Linked DNA regions of Sus scrofa. The protein of the gene in region 1 binds, or shares a complex with, the protein of each later gene. Links are inferred from orthologs where the notes say so. Each region holds a gene or a part of one and is shown on either strand. Other genes may lie near its edges.

Region 1 (7,486 bases):
CATAATCATACTTCAGAAAATTAATATTTGAATATATTAGATTTCCTTCATTGTTCCAAAAATGTTATTTAAAGTTTTAAAGAAACTGTGACTTTTAAATTAATACCCAGTCAAGGCTCATTCATTGTATTTTGATGTTTCTCTTAATACCCCATATCTTTTTTCTTTTTCTTTCATTCTTTTTTTTTTTCTTTTGTCTTTTGTCTTTTTAGGGCTGCACCCGCAGCATATGGAGGTTCCCAGGCTAGGGGTCTAATCAGAGCTGCAGCTGCTAGCCTACACCACAGCCACGGCAACACCAGATCCAAGCCATGTCTACGACCTACACCACAGCTCATGGCATTGCTGGATCCTTAACCCATTCAGTGAGGCCAGAGATTGAACCCGAAACCTCATGGTTCCTAGTCGGATTTGTTTCCGCTGCGCCAAGGCAGGAACTCACTCTTTCTTTTTTTTTTTAATGACAGTGAGATTAAGTGGACTGTCTTACAAAATGCCCCATATTCTGCATGTTTTGATTGTTTCTTCCTGGTATCTTTTAATTAATTCCTTATATCTCCTGTATTTTCTGTAACTGAATGTTATTACTACAGGCTTGATTAGATTTAGATTTAACATATTTTTAAGATGCTTTGTAAGTGGCGTTCTGTACTTTATATAAAGCACATCAACTGTAACCCAACTATAATGGAAAAAATAAAAATCATTTTTTAAAAAAAGCACCTACTGTCACTTTGTCCACTATTGATGATGCTCAGTTTGATCAGTTTGTTAAGGTGGTCACAGGAATGTCCTTTCCCATATTCAGTCAGAAGTAATATACAGGATATACAAAAATATCAAATCATTAGGTTGTACACCTGAAACTAATATAATGTTATATGACAGTTGCATCTCGGATTCTTTAAAAAAGTAATCTATGTGGTAATAATTTGGCATTATATAAACATCCACTGTAGATGATCTTTGCCATAATCAGTTACATCATTGGGGGTTGCAAAGTGATACTTTTCCTAATTCTATTACCGTGTCTGCATTTGTTAGCTGGCATTCTTTTTTTTTTTTTTTTGTCTTTTTGCCTTTTCTAGGGCCACTGCCACGGCATATGGAGATTCCCAGGCTAGGGGTCTAATCAGAGCCGTAGCCACCAGCCTATGCCAGAGCCACAGCAACGCCAGGTCCGAGCCGAGTCTGCAACCTATACCACAGCTCATGGCAACACCAGATCCTCAACCCACTGAGCAAGGCCAGGGATCGAACCTGCAACCTCATCGTTCCTAGTTGAATTCGTTAACCACTGAGCCACGACGGGAACTCCTAGCTGGCATTCTACAAAGAATAGTTCTGACATATAAACTGGGATGAAGTGTAATTTTTCCCAGAAAGGATATCAATTGTTAAAAACTTAATTCAACTTTTTTTTTTTTTTAGAGTTGCACTCTCAGCATACAGAAGTTCCCAGGCTAGGGGTTGAATCTGAGCTGCAGCTGCTGGCTTACATCAAACCTGTGTCCTCATGGATGCTAGTCAGATTCGTTTTTCTGAACCATGACGGGAACTCCTAATTCAGCCTTTTCATTTATCAGTTTTCAGAATAAGGATTAACAGTGACCTACACTGGATATTTTAAGTGTTTTTAATGTTTAAGAACTTAGAGTCTTGGGGAGTTCCTGTTGTGGCTCAGTGGGTTTCAAACTAATATCCATGAAGACGCAGATTCAATTCCTGGCCGCGCTCAGTGGGTTAAGGATCGGGCATTGCGTGAGCTGTGGTGTAGGCCAGCAGCTGCAGCTCTGATTCACCCCTTGGCCTGAAAACTTCCATATGCTGCAGGTGTGGCCCTAAAAAGCAAAAAACAAAACCAAAAAAATTTAGAGTCTTAGAGTTTCCTGGTGGCTCAGCAGGTTAAAGAGTCCGTGTTATCACTGCTATGGCTCTAGTCATTGCTGTGATGTAGGTTTGATCTCTGCCCCAAGAACGTCTGTGTGCCATGGGCACCGCTAAAAAAAAAAAAAAAAGAATTTAGAGTCTTATGATTCCAAATTAAAGTTTGTAATTGTTTGGATAATTGATTAATATTTGTGAATATAAGTTGAAGCCTTACTGTATTATTGCACAGACAGTAAAGAGTACCCAAGAGTCACTATTTTTGTAAGCTTAGTTTTTTAGATTTATAAGTAACTTGAGTTCTCAGAAAATTTTGTCTTTTTTAAGTCAAATTACTTAAATTGGGACATTAAATTATTTAAAGTAGTTAAAATTTTATGTTTGAAGGTATTTATCTTTGTAAATGAAATCAGACGTTCATCACAGCCCTTTCAAATTTAAAACTCAAAGTAGAATAAGATGTCTAAGTTGAATGTGAAAGTTTAGGCTTTTTGGAGTTCCCCTTGTGGAGCAATGGAAACGAACCCGACTAGTATCCATGAGGATGCAGGTTCAATCCCTGGCCTTGCTCAGTGGGTTAAGGATCTGGTGTTGCCATGAGTTGTGGTGTAGGCCTGCAGTTGTAGCTCCGATTCGACCCCTATCCTAGGAACGTCCTAAAAAGCAAAAAAAAAAAAAAAAAAATTAGACTTTTTGAATTTGTGACATTAAGAAGTCAAATATTAATATTTGAAAACTACAGTAAATCTCTTTTCTGGGACTGAAAACTAGTCTTAGATATGAAAATAAAAATACTCATCAGCGGTGGTATTGTTCTGCTTTGCCTGTCTTCCCGAGGTATGCTGATACTCTTTTTTTGTTTCTTTTTTTGGCCTTCCGAGGCATATGGAGTTACTGGGCCAGGGATCAGGTCTGAGCCTTAGTTGTGACCCAAGCCACAGCTGCAGTAACACTGCATCCTTAACCCACCGTGTTGAGCTGGGAAATCAAACCTGAGTCCCAGTGCTCCAGAGATGCCACCATTCCTGTTGCACCATAGTGGGAACTGCACTATGCTGATATTCTTGATACTTGGTATTCTATTCCTTTATTTCTGCCATGCTGGACAGGGTGCTCAAGTTTGTGGCATCCTGGTCACATGTCAGTTCTTGGAGCTGTGTAGAAATCAGCCATTCTGTCTAGGGCTTTGCTAAGGTAGGTCTACTTGTTCAAATGATAGAAAACACATGCCAGGTATTCGGATCTTAGCCGTATGGTGGCTTTGGTAAATGTGAATGATTTTTCTCTGAAATGGCATCTTCCTTATTTAAAATTTTCCCTCTCAAAGGCATCAGCACTATTTTGTATGTGTAGAGGTATTTCTTTAGGCCTACATTTCTTTTTTCTTTGGAAAAAAATGTGGTGGTTTTTGTTTTGTTTTTGTTTTTTTGAACATCGTTGGAGCTATATTTTGAAAATTGGAGCTTGTATGGAAGCTCCTCCTCCATTAGGTTTGAATTGTTAACCTTCTACATTAGAATGTTTCTGGGTTTTCAGTTAACTGACTTTTTTCAGTTTTGAAAAAGAGATGTGTTTCTTTGCTACTTAGTTTAAACCTAAAGGCAATTGGTTGGTAGAAATGAAGTCTGTTGGCTTAAAAAGCGTCAAGGTTTGTGCATCTAAAAGCTCTGTTCGCCTGGAAAGTCAGCCCTGTTCATTAGGCCAGAGTAGAAGGAAAGTCAAACTTACAGATAATCGGTCATATACTCTTTCAATTGGCAATGGAGACTATTTCTGGACAAGTAAAGACACGTTGTGGAATTATGTGCAGACTCTTTCTGGTAAGAAGTCAGTATTACCAAAAAACCAAATGTTTTAAAGACTAATTGCAAAAAATAATACCAGTTCCTTACAGAAAACCTGTAAAGTGAAGAAAGATAAGGAAAATAAAAATAGTAATACCACTGAAGTGAGTTTTTCCCTCTGAGTTTTATCTTGAAGTGAAAGAATGTAGGTAGAATAATAATTTTTATTATTAACATGTAATAGGCTATTTATTGAGCTTGGCTATCTAAAATGTCTAGGAGTGGGGAGTTCCTGTCGAGGCTCAGCAGAAACGAATCTGACTAGGAACCATGAAGTTGCAGGTTTGATTCCTGGCCTCACTCAGTGGGTTAAGGATCCAGCATTGCCATGAGCTGTAGTGTAGATCACAGACATGCCTTAAATCTGGCATGGCTTGGCGTAAGACAGCAGCTGCAGCTCTGATTCCACCCCTAGCCTGGAAATTTCCATATGCCACGGGTACAGCCCTAAAAAGACCAAAAAAAAAAAAAAAAAAAGTCGAGGAGTTCTCTTGTGGCTCTAAGGGCTAAGGATATGGCATTGTCACTGCAGCAGCCCAGGACACTGCTGTGGCAAGGCTTTGATCCCTGGCCCCAGGGAACTTCCATATGCTGAAGGCACAGCCAAAATAAAAATAAAAATAAAAATAAAATAAAATGTCTGTAGAAATGGGAATTTCAGGGTCTCTTGTTGTTAAAGTTGGTGTCTCTCTTTACTTGGAAGACTTTAGGAAACTTTTATAGTTCTAGAGGATGATAGCAGTAGCCACATGAGCCAGTCTGCTTTTGGCGGAAAGTAGAAGCTTAAACTCTTCAGTGCCTTGGTGAATTGTTGGGTGTTTCCCTCCTCCCTGTATTTATAAATCGCAATTTATAAATGACATTTGGGCCCAGAAGTCCCATGAAGGAATGTCATCTAATCTAAGAGGAGGGCGTGTTTTATTTTTTTTGTTTTGTTTTGCTTTGTTTTGTTTTTGTCTTCTTAGGGTTGCACCCTTGGTGTATGGAAGTTCCCTGGCTAAGGGTGAAATCAGAGCTGCAGTTGTGCTGGCCTGTGCCACAGCCACACCAACGCAGGATCTGAGCTGCATCTGTCACCTACACCAAAGCTCACAGCAATGCCAGATCCTTAACCCATTGAGTGAGGCCAGTGTTTGAACCTGTGTCCTCATGGATACTAGTTGGGTTCCTTACTGCTGAGCCCTGATGGGAACTGCCAAGGAGGGTGTGTTTTAGAAGAAGCTATGGAGGTAACTTGATGGCAAACTAAAATTTTTGGCATTTGGTTTAAATTTAGTATCTTTATGTAGATGGATTTTTTAAACACTTTAGGCACCCTAAAAATTTTATAAAGTATTTATGTTCATTGTTAAAATGGTCTCATGAATATACACAGAGTTGAGGGTTCTGTCTCATTCTAAACTCTCATTTTACTTTCTGGAGTCCTGAAATCCTGTGTCCCCATTTTTACACATTTTAAAGAAATTGGCCCTCACTCTGAACAATATTGTGTTATTTTGTAAAACAGATGCATTGTGTAAACAGTTGAGTTAACAAATAACTCTATTATTGGCTTTCTAAAGAAAAAGTTGTTTGAGTGTCCTCTTAAACCAGTGAGCTGTCCCCATTGAACAATTAGTTTTTCCTCCTCCCAGTTACTTATCTGTATGCAAAAGTAGATATGAAATACTAATTTATCTAACTTTAATTATCAGAAATAATTATTCTGATAAGCCCAAATACCAGAATGCCTTTTTTATTTTTTTATTTTTTTTTTTTTGTCTTTTGTCTTTTTGTCTTTTGTTGTTGTTGTTGTTATTGTTGCTATTTCTTGGGCTGCTCCTGCAGCATATGGAGGTTCCCAGGCTAGGGGTCGAATCGGAGCTGTAGCTGCCAGCCTACGCCAGAGCCACAGCAACGCGGGATCCGAGCCGTGTCTGCAACCTACACCACAGCTCACGGCAACGCCGGATCGTTAACCCACTGAGCAAGGGCAGGGACCGAACCCGCAACCTCATGGTTCCTAGTCGGATTCGTTAACCACTGCGCCACGACAGGAACTCCAGAATGCCTTTTTTATAGGTCAAATCTAAGTCTTAAATAAATTCACTTAAGTACAAGTTATATTATCATATCTAATAATAGGAGTTTCTTGGCGATCTAAGGAGCTGTTCATATTAAATCTAATTTCATTGTTAATTTGTGTGTTTAAGGTGCATAAATAAGTCTTGGGGTTGTTTTTTTTTTTTAACTTTTTTTTTTTGGCCATACCCTTGGCATATGGAAGTTCCTGGACCAGGGATTGTACCCAAACCACAGCAGTGACCTTATTTAGCATCAGTAAGCAGAGCTAGGTGGCCAAGGGGAGACCAGACTGAAGCCAAGACTTTTTATTGTACTATGTTGCCATCTTGAGGGAGGGAAATTGGAAGTCTTTACTGATTGATGACATGTGCCAAGCCAGGGCTTCCGAAAGTTAGCTCTGCTGAGGACTAGTTCTTTGAAATGCTCCTGGAAGACAGGTTTCTAGGCAGTTATCAAGAAATACCCACATTAGGAGTTCCCATTGTGGTGCATCAGAATGAATCCAGCTGGTATCCATGAAGATGTGGGTTCAGTCCCTGGCCTCGCTTAGTGGGTCAGGGATCCAGTGTTGCTGTGAGCTGTGGTGCAGGTCACAGATGCAGCTCAGATCCTGGCTGCGACTGTTGGCTGTAGCTCCAATTTGACCCCTAGCCTGGGAACTTCCACATACCACAGGTGCAACCCTGAAAAGCAAAAAGAAAAAGAAATACCCACATTATTGAGTGTACGTGTAATTAAATGAATGCTCACACACTCAGAAATACCTCTTCATACTCCACCTGATGCATACTGCAGTCACTAGACTTCTTAAGGCAACCCCCATCTGACTTCCAAAACGTTTTATTAGTTTTAGGCAGACATTTAAAAAGTAAAACTTTTAAGCAGTAACCCATATTCATTATAAAAATTTAAACAATTGTTGTCAAATACAAGTTCATGTGCCCAGTGCACAGTGAGGCCAGACAAACTGAAACCTGGGAGTTTGGAGCAGAGAAAGGTTTATTGCAGGGCCAAGCAAGAAGAATAGGTGGCTTGTGCTCAGAAAACTTGAGCTCCTCAATGGTTTTTGGAAAAAAAGTTTTTATAGGCAAAAGTTGGGAGGAGGGCTCAGGGTGTGTACCTTTCTCCTGATTGGTTGATGGGGTGGCAGGGGGCTGTCCAAAAATCTTACGGTTCAGCCCAAAGTTACCTTCCTCCACTCTGGCCGGTAGCCTTAATTCTGTTGAAGAATTCAGAGCTATATTATTGTTACCTATATTCCCTGAGGAGAAACCTATACCCTGCACTGTTGTCTATTGACTGCTCCTCCTTTGTTTCTGCATTCCCTCCCTAACTTAATTAATGTTTGAGGAGTTCCCTTTGTGGTGCATCAGAACGAATCTGAGTAGTACCTGTGAGGATGCAGGTTCAATCCCTGGGTGTTGGGAATCCAACTTTGCCATGAGTTGTGGTGTAGGCTGCAGATGCAGCTTGGATACCCTGGGGTCACTGTGGCTGTGGTGCTGGGTGACAGCAAATTTGAATCTGTCCTTCGGCTCTCAGTGAAGACCCTTTTTTTTTTTTTTAAATGATTTTTTATTTCTTCCATTATAGCTGGTTTACAGTGTAGTGTCAATTTTCCACAATATCAGGGAAGATCTTGGAGGCTTTTTTTCCTGCAAACTAGAAACCATGTGTGTCTGTCTGTCTGT
Region 2 (7,515 bases), on another chromosome or scaffold:
ATCACTAATTAAAGATCACCCTAATAAATATAATAACAATGAAAAAGTTTGAAATATTGTGAGAATTACCAAATGTGATATAGAGAAATGAAGTGAGCAAATGATGTTGGAGAAAGACACCTATAGACTTGCAGGTTTCCCACAAACTTTCACTTTGTAAATAACGCACTATCTGAGAAGCACAATAAAGTGAACTGCAAATGAGACATGGCTTTGCAGCTGGAGCTGGTAGACTCTAAGCCTAAAGACACAGCCATCTTTTGTGCCTGGTCACATGGCCAGTGAGAAGAGGCCAGAGGGGAATAAAACGGAGCAGAGGATTAGGGAGTGGGATTGGATTGACCCTTGTTGACATCTGAAGATGCCTGAACTTCTCAGTTAAATGATACTGGAATACTAAATGACCCCTTTCTGCATAAAGCCTGTTTGAGTCGGGGTTTTATAACTTGTACTAGGAAGTCTTGCCTAACACGAGGAACACTTTAATCTGGATCAGGAAGGGCATTTGGTGGGGTTCTTTTCAGATATTCAGAAAGAACAGGATGTATCGGGCAGGGCAACCAGTGGTTCCCTCCCTGTGGTAGCTAGTCTACTGAGATGGCCCCAAATAAGTGTGCCCCTCCCTTTATGTTCATGCGGCTCCTGCATTGCTTATGTCCTCTTCTCTTGAATCTGGACTGGGCTTGTGACATTCTTCAAAAGTTCTGGTAGTTTCCACTTACTTGGAACTTGGAGCCCTGGGATGTCATGTGAGATGTCTGGGCTAACCTGCTGGAGAGAGGCCATAAAGAAAAGTGAGAGGATGGGATACTACACAGAGAGGCCTCATTGGGGACACAGAGGTGTCCAACATCTAACCCCTAGCTACCATCTCAGTAGAGGCATGAGAAACCCCAAGTGAGACCCTTAGAACTGTCTAGCAGAGCCCTAGCATCAGGAGATATAATACATTTATGGTTTTATGCAACTAAGTTGTTTGTTATGCAGCTAGCTGGATTTCCTGGCCTCCTTACACATTGTTTCAATTACAAAAAGGAGCTCCTTCTGGGCAGATGAATTACAAAAAGTAAGTCACCTCTTTCTCCAGGCTGTAGTAAAGGTTACCAGGGCACAGCACACACAAGGAGGGCAGAGAATGACAATGGCCCCTTGGTCTGGTGACACTTTGTAAAGCACAGTACTCAGGGCTTGGAAGCTGTGGAGGGATGGATGCCCACAGACAGCAGGTCAGTCTAAACTTGCTCTTTGCAACCCCTTTCCCTTGATGAGCTTTCATGTTGCCCTGCCCTTGTCCAGTGTCCTCTGACACTAGAGGACTGAGATGGCACTGTTGATTTCTTGGCAAATGGCAGGCAATGACCATTCCAAGGCCATGCTGGGGAGAAGCAAGCATAGAACTCAAACAGTTTTTGTCTCTTAATCTTTTCCTTGCCCTTCCAGCTCTTCTCTGCCCCAACAGAAGCCATCCATTTCCCACATCCTCTAGTCCAAGACAGCTGGGGGTGTGTGTGTGTGTCTCATTTTGTTGCTGAAATCCATTTGCCTCTCATTTCTTCGGAGCTGATTTTCCAGGAAGGAGCCAGGGGCTCATCCTAGTTTGCCATGGTGAGTAGACAGCTATTCCTTTCTCCTCACTGCCCTGCCCGTCCACATGCATCTCTAGTAGGTTTTAACAGTCTTGCCCAAGAATTTCCATTGTGGTAACAATCTTGACTAGTATCCATGGGGATGTGGGTTGGATCCCTGGGATCTGACATCGCGGTGAACTGCGGTGTGGGTTGTGGACTTGGCTAGGATCTGGCTTTGATGTGGCTGTGGCTCAGGTGGGTTGACCCCTAGCCTAGGAACTTTCATATGCTGCTGGTGCAGCTGTAAAAAGAAAAGCAAAACAAAACAGTCTTGACCCTAAGCTGTGCGCTTACTCAGAGCAGGCTAGAGCCTGATTTATCGCTTTGCCCTGGCCCCAGCACAGAGCCTGGACCACCAGCCAACTAATGTGCACCATCGATCAGCCCAGTCCTTTATCCTTTCATTTTCAATCACCACCTGATTTCCGAATACAGCTGCAGACTTTACTCCAAGCTAGGATCCCACCACCGGAACTGTCCCTCGATTTACTGGACTGAGTAATCATGAATGGCCTGAAACAGGCCACTAATTAGTTTTCTCTGCATAGCTGAGGGAGGAAGAATCATGCAACAGTTTACCACTGAAGTCTCGAATCAGCTTGTCCTTGTTTTCCATGTGACTGACAGGCGAAACGAAGAGTCGTAGACCAAGAAAAAAGAGGGAAGAGAGGAACAAGAGTGAACAGCTGGAGGGAAAAAAAACAAACAAACAAACAAACAAACAAAAAAAAAACCTAGCTGAAAAACGGAGGAGCCTTAAGAAATCAGGCGCTACCAGGCAGGAAATCCGTAGGAGAGCGGGAAGGGGAGAGGGAGGCCCGCCCCAAAGCGCGCTGGGTCGGCTCACTGCTTCCAGTGGCGGGGGGAGGGGTATGGGGGGCACGAGCGGGCGGGGCCTAGGAAAGCGGCGTGCGGAGAGAGACCTCCCCGGACGCTGAATGGTCGCACCCGGCGGCAGCAGCCAATGGGCGGCCGGGATGTTGGAGCGGCGGCGGCGGTCCGGGCGCTCGCTGGCTGGGGGACGGCGGCCGCCGCCATGATCTTGTTTGCTTTCAATGAAAACTAGGGGGGCGCGGAGGAGGAGGCGGCGGCGTCGGTGGCGGCGACGTCGGCGGCGCGGAGGCGAAGACAGCGGTGGGCGCAGTTAGGCGGGCGAGGCCGGAGGCTGGGAGGCCGGAGGGCGTAGTGGCGACCCGTCAGGGCGGCTGAGGCGGGCGGCTTAAGCGGTGGATTTCAGAGGGGAAACAAAGAGCGGCGACTGAGGCGGCAGAAGAGCGGCGGCGGCGGCGGCGCTGCAGCAGCGGGCGGGACTGGTATGGTGGTTCCACAGGTCAGACCCCGCTGCACTCATAGGGAGGAGGCGGCGGCAGCGGCGGAGGAAGGCGGCGCACCCCAAGAGGTGAGCGAGACGCACCCGAGGCCCGGCCAGGCGCTGCTCCCTGCACACGGATAGCGCACGGGCCCCGCTCGGTAGGACTGGAGCGCGGGGGGCTCGGGCCATAGGAACTTGAGTTTTGCGGGCAACAGGCCTGCAGCTTGGAGGAGCTGGCGGCTGTTGGGGGTCCCTAGACGCGCAGCTGTTGCGATCCCACGCCTCTTCAGGCCGCGCCCCCGCGCAGAGTAGGGGAGTGGGGGCGTTGATTGACGGCGGGGGCGCGCAGGGGGCGCCGAGGTTGGGGGATTCCCTGGGCCTAGACTCTGATTGTGGTCGTTCTAGGAGGAGACTTGGTGTCCAGGACTCTCGGCCAGGATGGGTGGCAACTTTGGAGAAGTGGGCTATGTGGGATTGCGCGGTGGAGTGTGGAACTTCGCAGTTAGGGTAAAGCGGGAAACCAACTGTTTACTCCTCCCCCAAATATATTTAAAACTCAGTTTGAGGAAAAAATTTTGAGGGGTAGGAATGACATGGTTAAAGAAGAACTTAGAACCAGATGAAAAGACATATAATACTGCTGAGGACTCAGAGATGGTTTTAAGTACTTGAAACAGTCTTTTCTGATAACTAGAATCATATCTCTCCTATTTATTTCTAAATCATTATTTTCTTTGGAAACCTTTGGCTCTTTTCCTCCTTCATCTTCCCCAAAGAGCCTGCTGATGAACACTTGTAACTTTTTCTTGAACTGTTACTGCAAATTACAGATTGTGAATGGTCATCTTGCTTGTTCTTTTTGGACTTCTTGTGTTAAGCTGACATTTAGTCTCCTTGAATATGAATTCCCATACTTACCTGTTTTCCACATGGATTGTCCCATTAGTGCTAGTGTGGAATCTTTTTGCCTCTTTGTGCCTGGGGATTTTAATTTTGGAGAGGAAGAGAAAATATGAACAAGTGAAAAATAAAATGACATTTACTAGCACTTTGTTTTATGCTAGAATTTACCATCCCTAAGCAGTTTTGTAGGGTATAGGAGCTATGTCCATTGATCAGAAGGTTTTGAAGACTTATTTTGTAATTGCTCTCAGGGTAATTATGGCAGTCTTTAGAATATGATCACTTTGGAAATAAAAATTGCTTAATATTTTTAGACGAGTGATCTAGTCCAGTAGACTTGATTTAAACAAAATATTTGAATAGCTGATGTTGAGGAAACAGGCCTAGGAAGGTTAAAGTAACTTGCCCAAGATTATGCAGTTAGGGAAAGGACTGGGTTTTGTGTTAGCATGCGTGAACAAGTGCTGTTCTTGCTGGAGGTTAGTTTTAGGAGGGAAGAGGGATTTGTTTTAATGGATGGAAGTTACTTGAACTGGTTGAGTCTGGTCAGTCCTCAGTAGGTGAGCAAGATGCTTAATGAAAAGATGACAAAATGAGGGTATCACAAAGGACAAAAGTCTTTTTCTGAGACTCAGAATGTAATGTACATGAAATGTGGATAAGCTCTTTTGAAAGCCTATTTGATTTTTAGGGTTTTTTTTTTTTTTTTTTTTTTTTTTTCCCCCAGATTTCTTAAATCAGTGGCAAAGTAAAACTTTTCAGACTATTTCCTTTTGAACAGACATGAAATTAGTTATAGAACTTGCTTGGTCCTGGCTACAAATAAAGGCGCTGTAGGAATTTGCTTAATGTACTTGTGGTTTATACCTAATGCATTTTGGTTAATGCTTAGGCATTCCACTGTATTCATATTAGCTTTTTTATAGTCTTTAAAGCACAAATCTCTTTCATACCATAGTATAACAGAAAGGGATCATATATATAAGGCATACTGGAATAAATGGTCAAGGCTGATCACAACATTGTACATCAACTATATTTCAATAAATCTTTTAAAAATGAAAAAATAAATCAATGGTATTATATCATATACCTTAAAATTCCTGTGGAATCACTTAAATATACATGAAATTTCTAATGGTAAGAGTTGTATTTTCATAAACTTCTACTTTAATATATTGTCAGTATAATTGTGACATTTCAATTGTCCAGTGTTAATTTCTTTTTTTTTTTTTTTTTTTTTTTTTTCTCTTTTTTGGCCGCCCCGTGGTCTATAGAGTTCCAGGGCCAGGGCTCAGATCAGAACTGCACCTGCGGTAGCAGGGGATCCTTATTTCATTGTGCTGAGCCTGGAATCGAACCTGCCTCCCAGGTTGCTGCCTCCCAGCATTGCTGCTGATCCCATTGTGCCACAGCAGGAACTCCAACTTCATGTTTGTTTTGATGGCCTATTTTATGTTTCCCTTGGTTATGGATCTCCAATGGTGTAATACCACAGAACAAATGCTGTTGCTCTGGCATCTCTCTTCATTTAGCTTTTGCCACTACTCATTCACTTATATTAACAAGAGATTACTGTGTTGTGTAAAAGGAACTTTATGGGTACAACTAGGTTAGTTAAATGTATAAAACTAATAACAAGTACCAGATTGAAATGTGGGGGAAAAAATGGTCAGGGCTGCTTACCGCTATAGCTTTTGGGCCATACGGGGTGAGAACCCTCTTTAGCACACCTGTAACTTTCCCATATATAAGGTACACTGGTTGGGAAGCCCTGCTTTTAAAGTATTTAACACTTTGGAAAAGTCAAAATAGGTTCAGTTAAGAACATACAGTCTTAATGAAGAAAAGACTTGGATTTCCAGTGTGTACTGTTTATACTTTTGTTGTAATTAGAATGTAGCGTTACTGTCTAGAAAAAAGTTCCAATTTTAATTTTCAAATCCTTAGATTCCACAAAATCTTTTACTTATGTACTTTTTTCTTTCCTTATCTGCTACTCACTTGAGGAAGGTAGCCCTTTCACTAGGTAGTATAAGTAACAAAACACTAAGTGAAAATAAGAAATGCTGAATAAGTTAAACTGTTGGAATTCCCATTGTGGCTCAGCAGCTTAAGAACCCTGCTAGTGTTCGTGGGGATTCGAGTTCGATCCCTGGCCTTGCTCAGTGGGTTAAGGATCCAGCATTGCCAGGAGCTGTGGTGTAGGTTGCAGACAGGCCTCAGATCTGGCCTTGCTGTGACTGTGGTGTAAGCCAGAAGCTCCAGTTCTGATTCAACCCCTAGCCTGGCGGGAACTTCCATATGCCTCAGGTGTGGTTGTATGTAAAAAGACCAAAAAAAAAAAAAAAAAGTTAAACTGTAAACTTACTGTATGCATAGCCTGTGTGCATTAGAGTACAATGGAATGCACCATATTTTGGTATTTGAACAAGTAAATGAAAAGGAGAAGGTAGGAGTTCTTTGGTGGCACAGTGAGTTAAGGATCTGGTGTCACTGCTGTTGCTCTAGTCACTGCCCTGGTGCAGGTTCGATCTCTGGCCCAGGAACTTCCTCATGCCAAGGGTGTGGCCAAAAAAAGAAGGTTATTTGCATGTAAGATGGAGACTAATTTAGGCTGCCTTAATATTACCCTTCTCTGGACTTTACCTCCCCTTCATTTTTTTTGTTTTCTTGGTAACTTAAGTTATGTGCAGAAAATAGTATATGCTGAACATAGTATTGGACCCTGAGAATTAAAAACTGAATAATACTCAGTTCCTGTCTTCTCGTCTGTAGACTTAGTAGGTGTACAGAGTGCTGTAGGAGAAGAAAGAATTACATTTGTAGAAAGTGTGGGAGCAGTTTACAGAAAACAATACAGAATATGTGTTTGTCAGACTGGGCAGATGGGATCATTTCAAACAAAAGGAATCGTAGGTGCACTGAGGTGAGAAGTGTTGTGGTAAGGCCAATGGTGATATGTCACTGAAACAAGGAGAGTGATTGGGGAATGAACCTGCAAAGGTGTGTCCTGCCTAGATTTTGATGGACTATCTTTACCAAGCAAAAAGTTAGGTATATCTTTATCCTATAGCAAAGGATGGAGGCAAAATATTTTTCATAGAGGAGCAAAATGATTTAGAGATCACTTGGATATCAGTGTTTAAGTGGAAACCCTCCATATTAAAAAGTCACATTTGAGGTAGTTGGAGTTGTGACTCTGATTCTGTTTTAAACTTGGATATAGTATCTTTTGTGTCTGTGGTCCCTTTTATAATGGGCTTGAGGGCTCTGCCCAATTGCTCTGTAATACAGGATAATTTATAATCAGAATGTTTTGAAAAAAGTTTAGAGCAATCAAAACCTATAAAATAGTACACATGAAAATTCAGTTATTGAGAACTTGTCTTCTGAGTTAAGCTTAGGCAGACTCTAGAGCTTAAGCTGGAAAAATCAAGCCTCTGCTTATCAGAAGTTGAGCCACCAAGCTTAAAGGTTATGACTATCCTCATGGCCTGGAGGCATTTTGTGAAATTAGGGGGAGGGCAGACAAAGGAAGCAATGAAAGTGCTCATCAGGTTATATACAATAATAAGGAATATACATACAAAGCATTTGGAGCATGCTAATGAAGGAGCAACTAGTTCTGCTTGGGAAACTTGAGGGAGTCATCTCAGAGGTCGTAGGGCT

Evidence for each region.
Region 2: CNOT10 (region 1) and CNOT6 share a complex: the UniProt entries of both Homo sapiens proteins name them as parts of the CCR4-NOT complex. The link is inferred for Sus scrofa from reciprocal best matches to the Homo sapiens genes CNOT10 and CNOT6.

What each region holds. Positions count from the first base shown.
Region 1 is NC_010455.5:18,654,572-18,662,057, forward strand, and holds the start of CNOT10 (CCR4-NOT transcription complex subunit 10), read left to right. Parts: upstream 1-3,377; 5' UTR 3,378-3,505; coding exon 3,506-3,707; intron 3,708-7,486. UniProt on the Homo sapiens protein: Component of the CCR4-NOT complex which is one of the major cellular mRNA deadenylases and is linked to various cellular processes including bulk mRNA degradation, miRNA-mediated repression, translational repression during translational initiation and general transcription regulation.
Region 2 is NC_010444.4:78,197,623-78,205,137, reverse strand, and holds the start of CNOT6 (CCR4-NOT transcription complex subunit 6), read left to right. Parts: upstream 1-2,624; 5' UTR 2,625-3,027; intron 3,028-7,515. UniProt on the Homo sapiens protein: Poly(A) nuclease with 3'-5' RNase activity.